Linked DNA regions of Caenorhabditis elegans. The protein of the gene in region 2 interacts with the protein of the main gene of each other region in a pairwise test. Each region holds a gene or a part of one and is shown on either strand. Other genes may lie near its edges.

The links.
Region 1: the proteins of col-146 (region 2) and cdc-37 interact in a two-hybrid assay, tested with the Caenorhabditis elegans proteins (one large-scale study listed by BioGRID).

Annotation. Positions count from the first base shown.
Region 1 is NC_003280.10:577,450-582,493, forward strand, and holds cdc-37 (Hsp90 chaperone protein kinase-targeting subunit), read right to left. Parts: upstream 3,145-5,044; coding exon 3,053-3,144; intron 2,444-3,052; coding exon 2,056-2,443; intron 2,010-2,055; coding exon 1,401-2,009; intron 1,266-1,400; exon of another isoform or gene 1,212-1,265; intron 761-1,211; coding exon 638-760; downstream 1-637. Other genes in the region: W08F4.7 (CW domain-containing protein), read right to left, coding at 181-283; W08F4.3 (Sigma non-opioid intracellular receptor 1), read left to right, coding at 3,172-3,307, 3,369-3,490, 3,543-3,792, 4,209-4,387; fbxb-14 (F-box associated domain-containing protein), read right to left, coding at 4,662-5,044.
Region 2 is NC_003283.11:9,627,914-9,631,564, forward strand, and holds col-146 (Nematode cuticle collagen N-terminal domain-containing protein), read left to right. Parts: upstream 1-2,029; 5' UTR 2,030-2,043; coding exon 2,044-2,181; intron 2,182-2,312; coding exon 2,313-3,047; 3' UTR 3,048-3,099; downstream 3,100-3,651. Other genes in the region: T06E4.7 (G protein-coupled receptor), read left to right, coding at 53-230; idpc-3 (Intrinsically Disordered Protein, class C), read right to left, coding at 511-1,159, 1,240-1,259; T06E4.5 (Recep_L_domain domain-containing protein), read left to right, coding at 3,331-3,502, 3,551-3,651.

The DNA.
Region 1 (5,044 bases), on a different chromosome or scaffold from region 2:
AAAATGCGGGAATTTTTCGCCCTAAAATGTGACGTCAGCAGGCAAAATCAGTTGAGAACTCTGCGCCTCAACTCCCGCATTTTTTGTAGATCTACGTAGATCACGCCGAAATGGCACGTTATTGGGTCTGCTAAATCAAAATTTGAAGTTTGTAGGCTAGCAGACCCATCCTAGACTCACTTCCATACAAGCTCAATTGTGCCAAGGAAAATGGGACAAAAACTAGTAGAATAAGCCGCGAATTTACCATTTTCAGCCAAAAAATGACCGATAATACATCCATTATTGAACTTTATAGTTGTCAGGCGGAGACTAACGTTTGCTTACAAAACATCACTTTCAAAAAATCGTGAGAAAAAAAAACGAATAAACACAATAAGAAGAAAGTTGATGATGATAATCTTTATGCTATTCCGAATTGGAATTTTTGAATACGAAGTGGAACGATTCTCGAAGCAAAAAAAAACTTTTTTACAGGTGTTCGAGAGGGAAAATAAACAGTAAATGTCGTGGGGGGTGTAGAATAAATAAAGAAATAATTGGGCCATTTTCAGTGAATCTTGGGGAAAAAGTAAAGTGCGGTGCAGAAAAAACAAGTAGATCAGGGGAACTTTCAAACGGGGAATAATGGGGAAATTTAGGAGCTGGTTGTTGGCTCTTCCTCGGCTGGAGCAGCTTCCTCATCGTCGTCGTCGTCGTCAGCTTTTCCGGGCACCCAGAGTCCAGAGGCGATGCATCGATCGAAATGGTACTTGAAGACCTGAAAATTTGGATTTTTGGATGTTGAAATTAGATGAATTTGGCTAAAAATAATAGCCTACAAACTACTAATTTCGATTTAGCAGACCATAGGTGGTTTTGAAGAAATTTGGTCTGCTAGACTACAAACTACAAAACTCGATTTAGCAGACCAAAATTAAAAAATGCCTGTTTTCAGCTTAAAATTTTGATTTTTGATTCGTTTTTTTTTGGAATACAATGTTAATTCACTCAAAAATTTGAAAATAGATCAATTTTCCCCCGAAAGTTCAGATTTTTTCAGGATTTTATATTAAAATACGCACTTTTGTCTTAAAACACAAAAATCGCACAATTTTCCACTAAAAATCGCAAAAAACCTGAATTTTTGCTAATTTCTATTTGAAAAATATTCATTTTTCCGCTGAAAAATTGAAAATTTATCAATTTTTGCAATTTTCATTGCGAAAATTGAAAACTTTGGGTCTGCTAGTCTACAAACTACACATTTCGATTTAGCAGACCAATGCCATTTTGAAGAACCTTGGTCTGCTAGACTACAAACTACAAATTCCGATTTAGCAGACCAATGCCATTTGGAAGAAACTTGGTCTGCTAGACTACAAACTACAAATTTCAATTTAGCAGACCCAAATATTCACCTCTTCATCCATTTTCTGGGCGACACCCTTCAACGCCTCGATATCATGTGCCTCAAAGCACTTTCTCATCTCCTCCGGCAGCTGCTCGAACACTTCCTGTGGATCGATTCCTCCCGGAGCACTCTTCATTCGTTCGGCTTTCTCCTCGGCTTCAGCCTCCTCCATCGCGGCGTCTCTCTTCGTCTGCGCACGTGTTCTGAGACGATCCTCGAACGCCTTCACCTCATCCTGATAGTGCTTCATGTAGACCGGCTCGGCGGCTTCGAACTTCTTGAAGAATTGCTTCTGGACGGTGGTATTCGTGGCGACTGCGTTCAGCGATTTCGAGAGCTCCAGAAGATATTGAATGATGATGCATTGCTCAGCCATCGTCTTCATTTTCTCCTCATTAAAATCGATGGCGGCGTTGAGAGCCTCAATTGTGAGCCAATTTGCAGTGTACTCCGACGCCATATGCGGATGCTCGGCCAGGAACAGCTCCGTCGACTTGGCTCCGTTCTTGAGCACGGCCATCTTCTCCAGAAGGCTCTCGTGAGTCTCGAAGAAAGTGCTCATCGCATGAGTGTCCTCCTCATCGGTTTTGGGAGCTTGCGGCTTCTTCTCGGTGATCTGAAATTACAGAATTAATCAATTTGCACAGAAAAATCTTCAAAACCTTATTGATCCTCGACGTGCTGAACGCCTCATGACCGATCGTGTCGACGTTCCATGGCTCCAGACGCTCTTTCTCCTCGAGTTCGGCCTCCTTCTTGCGCCAGGCTTCTTCTTGCGCCTTCACCTCGTCGATTTGCTTCTGAATATCCGACTTGTCAGTGACATCGGCTGCGGCAAGCTTCTTCTCGAGCTCCTCCATCTTCTTGCTCGTCGTGCCCTTTTCCTTATCGATTTTCTCCTGTTCCATCTTCTTCTCGGCCATTCGCTCCAAACGAGCTTGATGGCGCCATCTGAAGAGCGACGGAGTGTCAATGTTCGGGTGAGTGTCGTCCTCGTCGTCGGAAACCTCGATATCCTTCCATTTGGAGTAGTCGATTGGCATTTTTGAGCTGAAAATCGAGAAAATTGAGTGGAAAATAAGGAATTAGCAGGAAAAGCGAGAGAAAACTGATAATCGCTGGAAAATTCCGACTCGGTTGCCACGACAACGAGGATAATCCGCGTGAAATTACGAAAACAGAAATTTCATGAAGAAAACGTGGCATTATAATGATGTTTCAAAGGATTTACGTGGAATTAACTATTTGCTGAGCAATTTTCGAGAAATTTCTTCAAAATTTCTCAAATAGAAATACTACGTTTTCTAGCGGATTTCGGCCTTTTTTTTGGCCCAAAACTCCGACAAATTGATTTTTAAAAGCCTGTAGAATTAAATTTAGACTTCTAAAAGTGGAAAAAATCGAAGGAAACCCCGAAAATAACATGAGAAAGGCGAAAAATGACTTTTGTTTTTCTTCTCGGTCCTTCTGTGGCAATGCGCGTCAGATATGGTGTTTTCTGTGTGCTTCTGCGTCACGGTGTTTGCACACAATTCCTTTTTCGCTGATTTTTTTAATTTTCAGCGCGCTGCAGCGCCATTTCTTGCATTTTTCAAGCATTTCCATTGATTTTTCCGCGAAAAAACATCTGAAATTTCAAAAAATCAATGTTAAACTCACAATTTTTCTTCTTCGCACTCGCTGTCCCTCTTGAAAACTCGCGAAATGACTGTATTTCCTTTTTTTTTCACGCAAAATTTCCAAATTTCCATGTTTTCAGGGTAGTTCAACACGTGAAAATGGCTCTTCTCACCTCAAAGCTTCGGTATCTTCTGCTCTTCTACGCAGTCTTCCAGGCTGCTCAATTTGGCCTCCGCTGGAAGTCTTATGACATCTCGCCGAAGCAGTTCAAGACTATCGCTGGAAAGGCTGCTGGTGAGGAAAAACATATTTTTCTGCGAAAATACCGCAATTTTAATATATTGTATATTTTCAGCTGCTCCAACAATCTCCCAGTCAATTTCCACATTGACGTCTGGAATGCGCACTTATTACGAGCCAATCATGCCAAGTCACTTCGAATGGCACGCTATTCAGTTGGGAGGCCTCACTTTAAGGGTGAGGAACAGGAAAAATCGAAAAAAAATCTTAAATTTAATGAATTTTCCAGATGTACCCAATGCTGACCGCTTTCACCGAGTTCGCCGCCGCCTTCTCCGCTCCGTTCCCAACTTCAGGACGCCCGGGGCTCCATTGGGCAAATACGACGTGCACCGTGTTGAAAGGAAAAGTCAGCCGATTCAATGACGGAACTCAGGACGAGACGTCGGAGAACTTTGCTTCGGGAGCCGCTTTCAGGCACGGACAGTTCGAGTCCCACGTGTACAGCTTCGAGAAGGACACCTACGTCGCGTGCTACGGTAAATTACACCGAAAATCAAGGAAAATTCGTTTTTTTTTGAGTCTGGCAGACCAATTTCGAATTAAAATCACCTGGGTCTGCTAAATATAATTTTGTAGTTTGTAGTCTAGCAGACCAATTTCGAAATCAAATCACTTGGTCTGCTAAATATAATTTTGTAGTTTGTAGTCTAGCAGACCAATTTCGAACTGAAATCGCATGGTCTGCTAAATACAGTTTTGTAGTTTGTAGTCTAGCAGACCAATTTCGAATTGAAATCACTTGGGTCTGCTAAATATAATTTTGTAGTTTGTAGTCTAGCAGACCAATTTCGAACTGAAATCGCTTGGTCTGCTAAATATAATTTTGTAGTTTGTAGTCAACCAGACCCATATAAAAATCCCCTCGTTTCTAATGAATTTTTATATTTTTCAGGTCGCGGCTTCCTCCCACTCTCCTCCACCGTCCACGTCACCTCTGGAATCTCACTCGGCGAGCCACTCTCGGTCATTCAATTCTACATGAAGCAGGCCTACAACTACTGGAACAACCTGAGCCACACCCTCTATCGTGTCTTCCAGCACTACAAGGCCCGCGCCACTGGAGAACTTTAAATAATTTATGTGATTCCCCATCCGGTGCATTTCTACAAGCATTCTAACCCGAAATTTTCATTTATTCAGTCATGTTTTATCCCAATGTCCCCCCTCTACTTCCATTTTTACGGTTGTGTAATTCGATTTCTTGAGCCATTTTATTGCATAATTTAAAATACAAGAACATATTTATTTCATCACCTCAACCATTTAACCATATAGCTCAACCGAAAAAAATAATTGCACAGGTATTTGAAGGCATTTGCAGTGAAAGATGATCAAAAGTCGCTGCTTACTCATCGTCGGCCAGCCGGACGAATCGAACAGTAGTTCTGGTGAGGGAAACCTTTGCCTTGATCCCTCTTTTGCACACAATTTGGACGTGTTGAACCATTCCATCATCCACGACCAGAGGATCTTCGTATCTAGTAAAGTCTATTCCGCGGAGAATAGTTCCATGTACAGGATGCTCAATATTCAGACCATCTACAACAAGATCACTGATTCTCAGCTGTGAGTTCTGAATCCAGATCTTCAAGAACAAGTTGACATCCTTTGCAGTCATTGAGTGGTGCAATGAACGAAGCGTTCGACTATTTGACAAGAACACCTCGTTCAGTGTGAGATTGGTGACTTTCAGCTCCTCATAATTTTGAACCAAGAGTTCTTTTCTTA
Region 2 (3,651 bases):
GTGAGTCATTTGTAATCAGAGAGCAGTAATCGGATGCTTTATTGTTTTTCAGTAAATGGCAAGAGTTTCTACCAGCGTATTGCATGTCAATGGTTCCCGTTTTATCACCACTTTGCACAATTATATTCATTGAACCATACAGAAGAGCCATTTTGTCCTTTGTAACTTTGAAAGCATTACGAGGAACAATCAATAACTCAAACACCCAAAATCAAAATAATGATTCATAACTTTGACTTATTTGTAACTATTTTGTTATAGCAATTGTACTCTTTTTTAAACAGCAGTAATTTTTCAGTAATTCTTTTCAAAAAATTTGTGATAACTTAATTGAGACCTAATTTAATTGAGAGCGATCGTAATACTCAGGAACACTTAGCATGAAGATTTTAAATTGTAATTGTAAGTCGAAATAAATGTATTGTCATTAAATCGCAGAAGAATTTGAAAGGAAAACGTCGATCGGTATATACAGAAAATCAAAAATAATTAGAGCACGATGATTCGAACTTAAGCCTTGACGGTCTTGGCCTTGTTTCCTCCGATGAGGAAAGCAGAACGAGCAAATGGAGCATAGGCTGGGATGGCAGCTGGAACTGCTGGAGCAAAAGCTGGAATTGCTGGGGCAGCAAGCACTGGTCTTGGAGCAATAATTGGAGCTGGGGCGAAAGCTGGAATAGCTGGAGCTGCGAGAACTGGTCTTGGTGCAAGAAGTGGGGCCGGAGCAAAAGCTGGAATAGCTGGAGCAGCGAGAACCGGTCTTGGAGCAAGAATTGGAGCGGGTGCGAATGCTGGGGCAGCAAGGACTGGTCTTGGGGCAAAGGCTGAAACGATTGGAGCAACTGGTGGGACTGGTGGAGCCAAAAATGGAGCTGGAGCAGCCAAGACTGGAGCTGGTGGGGCAGCAAAAACTGGCGCTGGAGCAGCGAATGCTGGAGCTGCAGCAAGAACTGGTGCTGGTGGAGCCAAAAGTGGGGCTGGTGGAGCAAGAAGAGGAGCTGGGGCAGCCAAGACTGTTGGAGCAGCTGCGAGCACTGGTGCTGCGACTGGGGCAACTCCTGGAGCCAATACTGGCTTGGCAGCCACGTAGTATCTTCCCATGAATGGCCCGTTAACGGCGACTTGTGCGGAAGAAAGGGCAAGTCCAGCGAAGAGAAGGCTAGAGAATAAGAAGATAAGGTATTGCAAAGAAACCATTTGGAATGATTACTAAATTGTGAAAATAAAATAAAAACTCACGCAAAGACCGAGGAGCTCATGATGATTATTGGATTGCTGAAACCGTTCGAGGTGTGTGCTGTCTTTTCCGATTTTTGAGGCACCTTTAAATACAACAGAGGGCGGAGAGCTCAAAACCAGTCGACGTTGTTTCTTTTTCTCATTCGGTTGCGTCAAAAAACGTTTGACGGGACGGGAGCAAGAGGAGCTCGCGGGAGCAACTTTGTGTGGATCACCACCTCTATTCACAAAAAAACTTTTTTTCATGTGGTGTGCGCGGCAATGAACGGCGGGCGCCATCTCGCGTAATGGACACAAACAAATGGCGAGAAAAAGTTGATGTTTGCGAGAGTGGCGGCACCGGGGCACGGAAGATGCGGAAGCGTTCTTTTTGATGGTGGAGATGGGCAAATAGTAATTGAGAATGTGGCATACTGATTTGAGGAATTGCACTTTGAACATTTTGTGTTCGTTTTGATAGAAAAAATAAATAAATTTTAGACAAGCCTTCGATCTATGAACTTACATACATACTAGCAACGTTTTCAAGTATGTCTATCTAGAAAAAACGCCAAGTGTTTCTTATAATGATTTCTAACAATTGAGGAACCATTAACATTACGTCAAAAATACTTAAACCTATCTTGGTGTAAACATCTTCATCGAAAATACGGAAGTATGGGCATTCGATTATTACAACACCGGAGGGCAGACAAAGAAGCTGCAAGAACGCCGCCCACTCTAATGGGCAATTCAAGGTTGATTTCACTTGACCTTTATGGGTATAAAAACAATCAAATGCGTGGAAGAAGACACATCTCAGCAATGGTTAAGACTTTGGTAACAATCGCCAGCATTGGCAGCGGAGTTGCTGTTGTTGCTTGCCTCTTCACTGTTGGATACATCTTCAATGATATCAACTCTTTCCATGATGAGGTCATTGACACTATGACTGAGTTCAAAGTGAGTCCATAAGTTCATAGCTAGATGATACAAATACTTTTTCAAATCATGAACCACCAAGTCTTCTCTCAAATTCTTTTGTAGAATAAACCTGATTAAAAATGAATTTCACAACATTTTCAAAAATTTAGTTCAACGAGCAACAAGCATGGAACTCAATGATGAAGCCAACTGATGTATTCGGAAGAATCAAGCGTGGAATCAACAAGAGAGGAGCCCAATGCAACTGTGGAGCTCAATCCAATGGATGCCCAGCTGGACCACCAGGACCACCAGGACAACCAGGAGCTCAAGGAGAGGCTGGACACGCTGGAGAGGCTGGAAAGCCAGGAGCCAACGGAGTTACCATCGGACTTACCGGAGGAAATGGACCATGTATCACTTGCCCAGCTGGAGCCCCAGGACCAGCCGGAGCTCCTGGAGCACCAGGACCACAAGGACCATCTGGAGCCCCAGGACAAGACGCTGTTGGAGAAGGACCAGGACCAGCTGGACCACAAGGACCAGCCGGAGATGCCGGAGCTCCAGGACAAGCCGGAGCACCAGGACATCCAGGAGCCCCAGGACAAGGAGGACAACGCAGCCGTGGAACTCCAGGACCAGCTGGAGCTCCAGGACCACAAGGACCAGCCGGAGGACCAGGACAACCAGGACAATCCGGAGGAGCCGGAGCACCGGGACCAGCTGGAGCTCCAGGAGCACCAGGAGGACCAGGACAGCCGGGACAAGATGGACAGCCAGGAGCCCCAGGAAACGACGGAGCTCCAGGAGGAGACGCCGCTTATTGTCCATGCCCAGCTCGCTCTCAAGTTGTCAAGCACCGCAAAGTTATGGCTCACAGACGCCACGCTAAGATTGTTGCTTAAATTTGGACCATTTTGAAGTTTAACTTTCTCTCAATAAAAATGCATTTTCCAACTTGCTTCACTAAACTGTTAAAGTTGAAAATAGGTGAATCCCATCAATTTTATTTGCTGGAAAATATTTTTTTACATGCGGCAACAGACATCATCTCTCCAAAAAAATTGCCTTCAGTTTTCAAACAATACAATAATTTAAATATTTATTTACCAGGTTCACGTCAGAAGTTTAATCATAATATGCAGTGTACATGCAACGTTTTCAAAAATACATTTCATTATTTTTAGAATGGTTATTTATATGAAACGAAAACTTTTCGTATTCTTCATCACACTTGTTGCTTTTCTTGTTTGCAATGCTGGACAAAATGGAGAATGTATTGGTGGAACTGTTGAGGATATTCCTAATGATTGCGTAATTATCATTTCAAAACCATTAATTATCGCAGAAAAATCTCATGGCAAGTATTCAAAAATTTTCTTTTCTAATATAATTGTTTATATTTCAGAAAACATCCTTCGTTCAAAACTGGCCAAAGTTGAGAAAATTAAAGCCGGTCTTGAGATTTCAAATATTCGTTTTTCAATGTTTAACTATCTACAAAACACA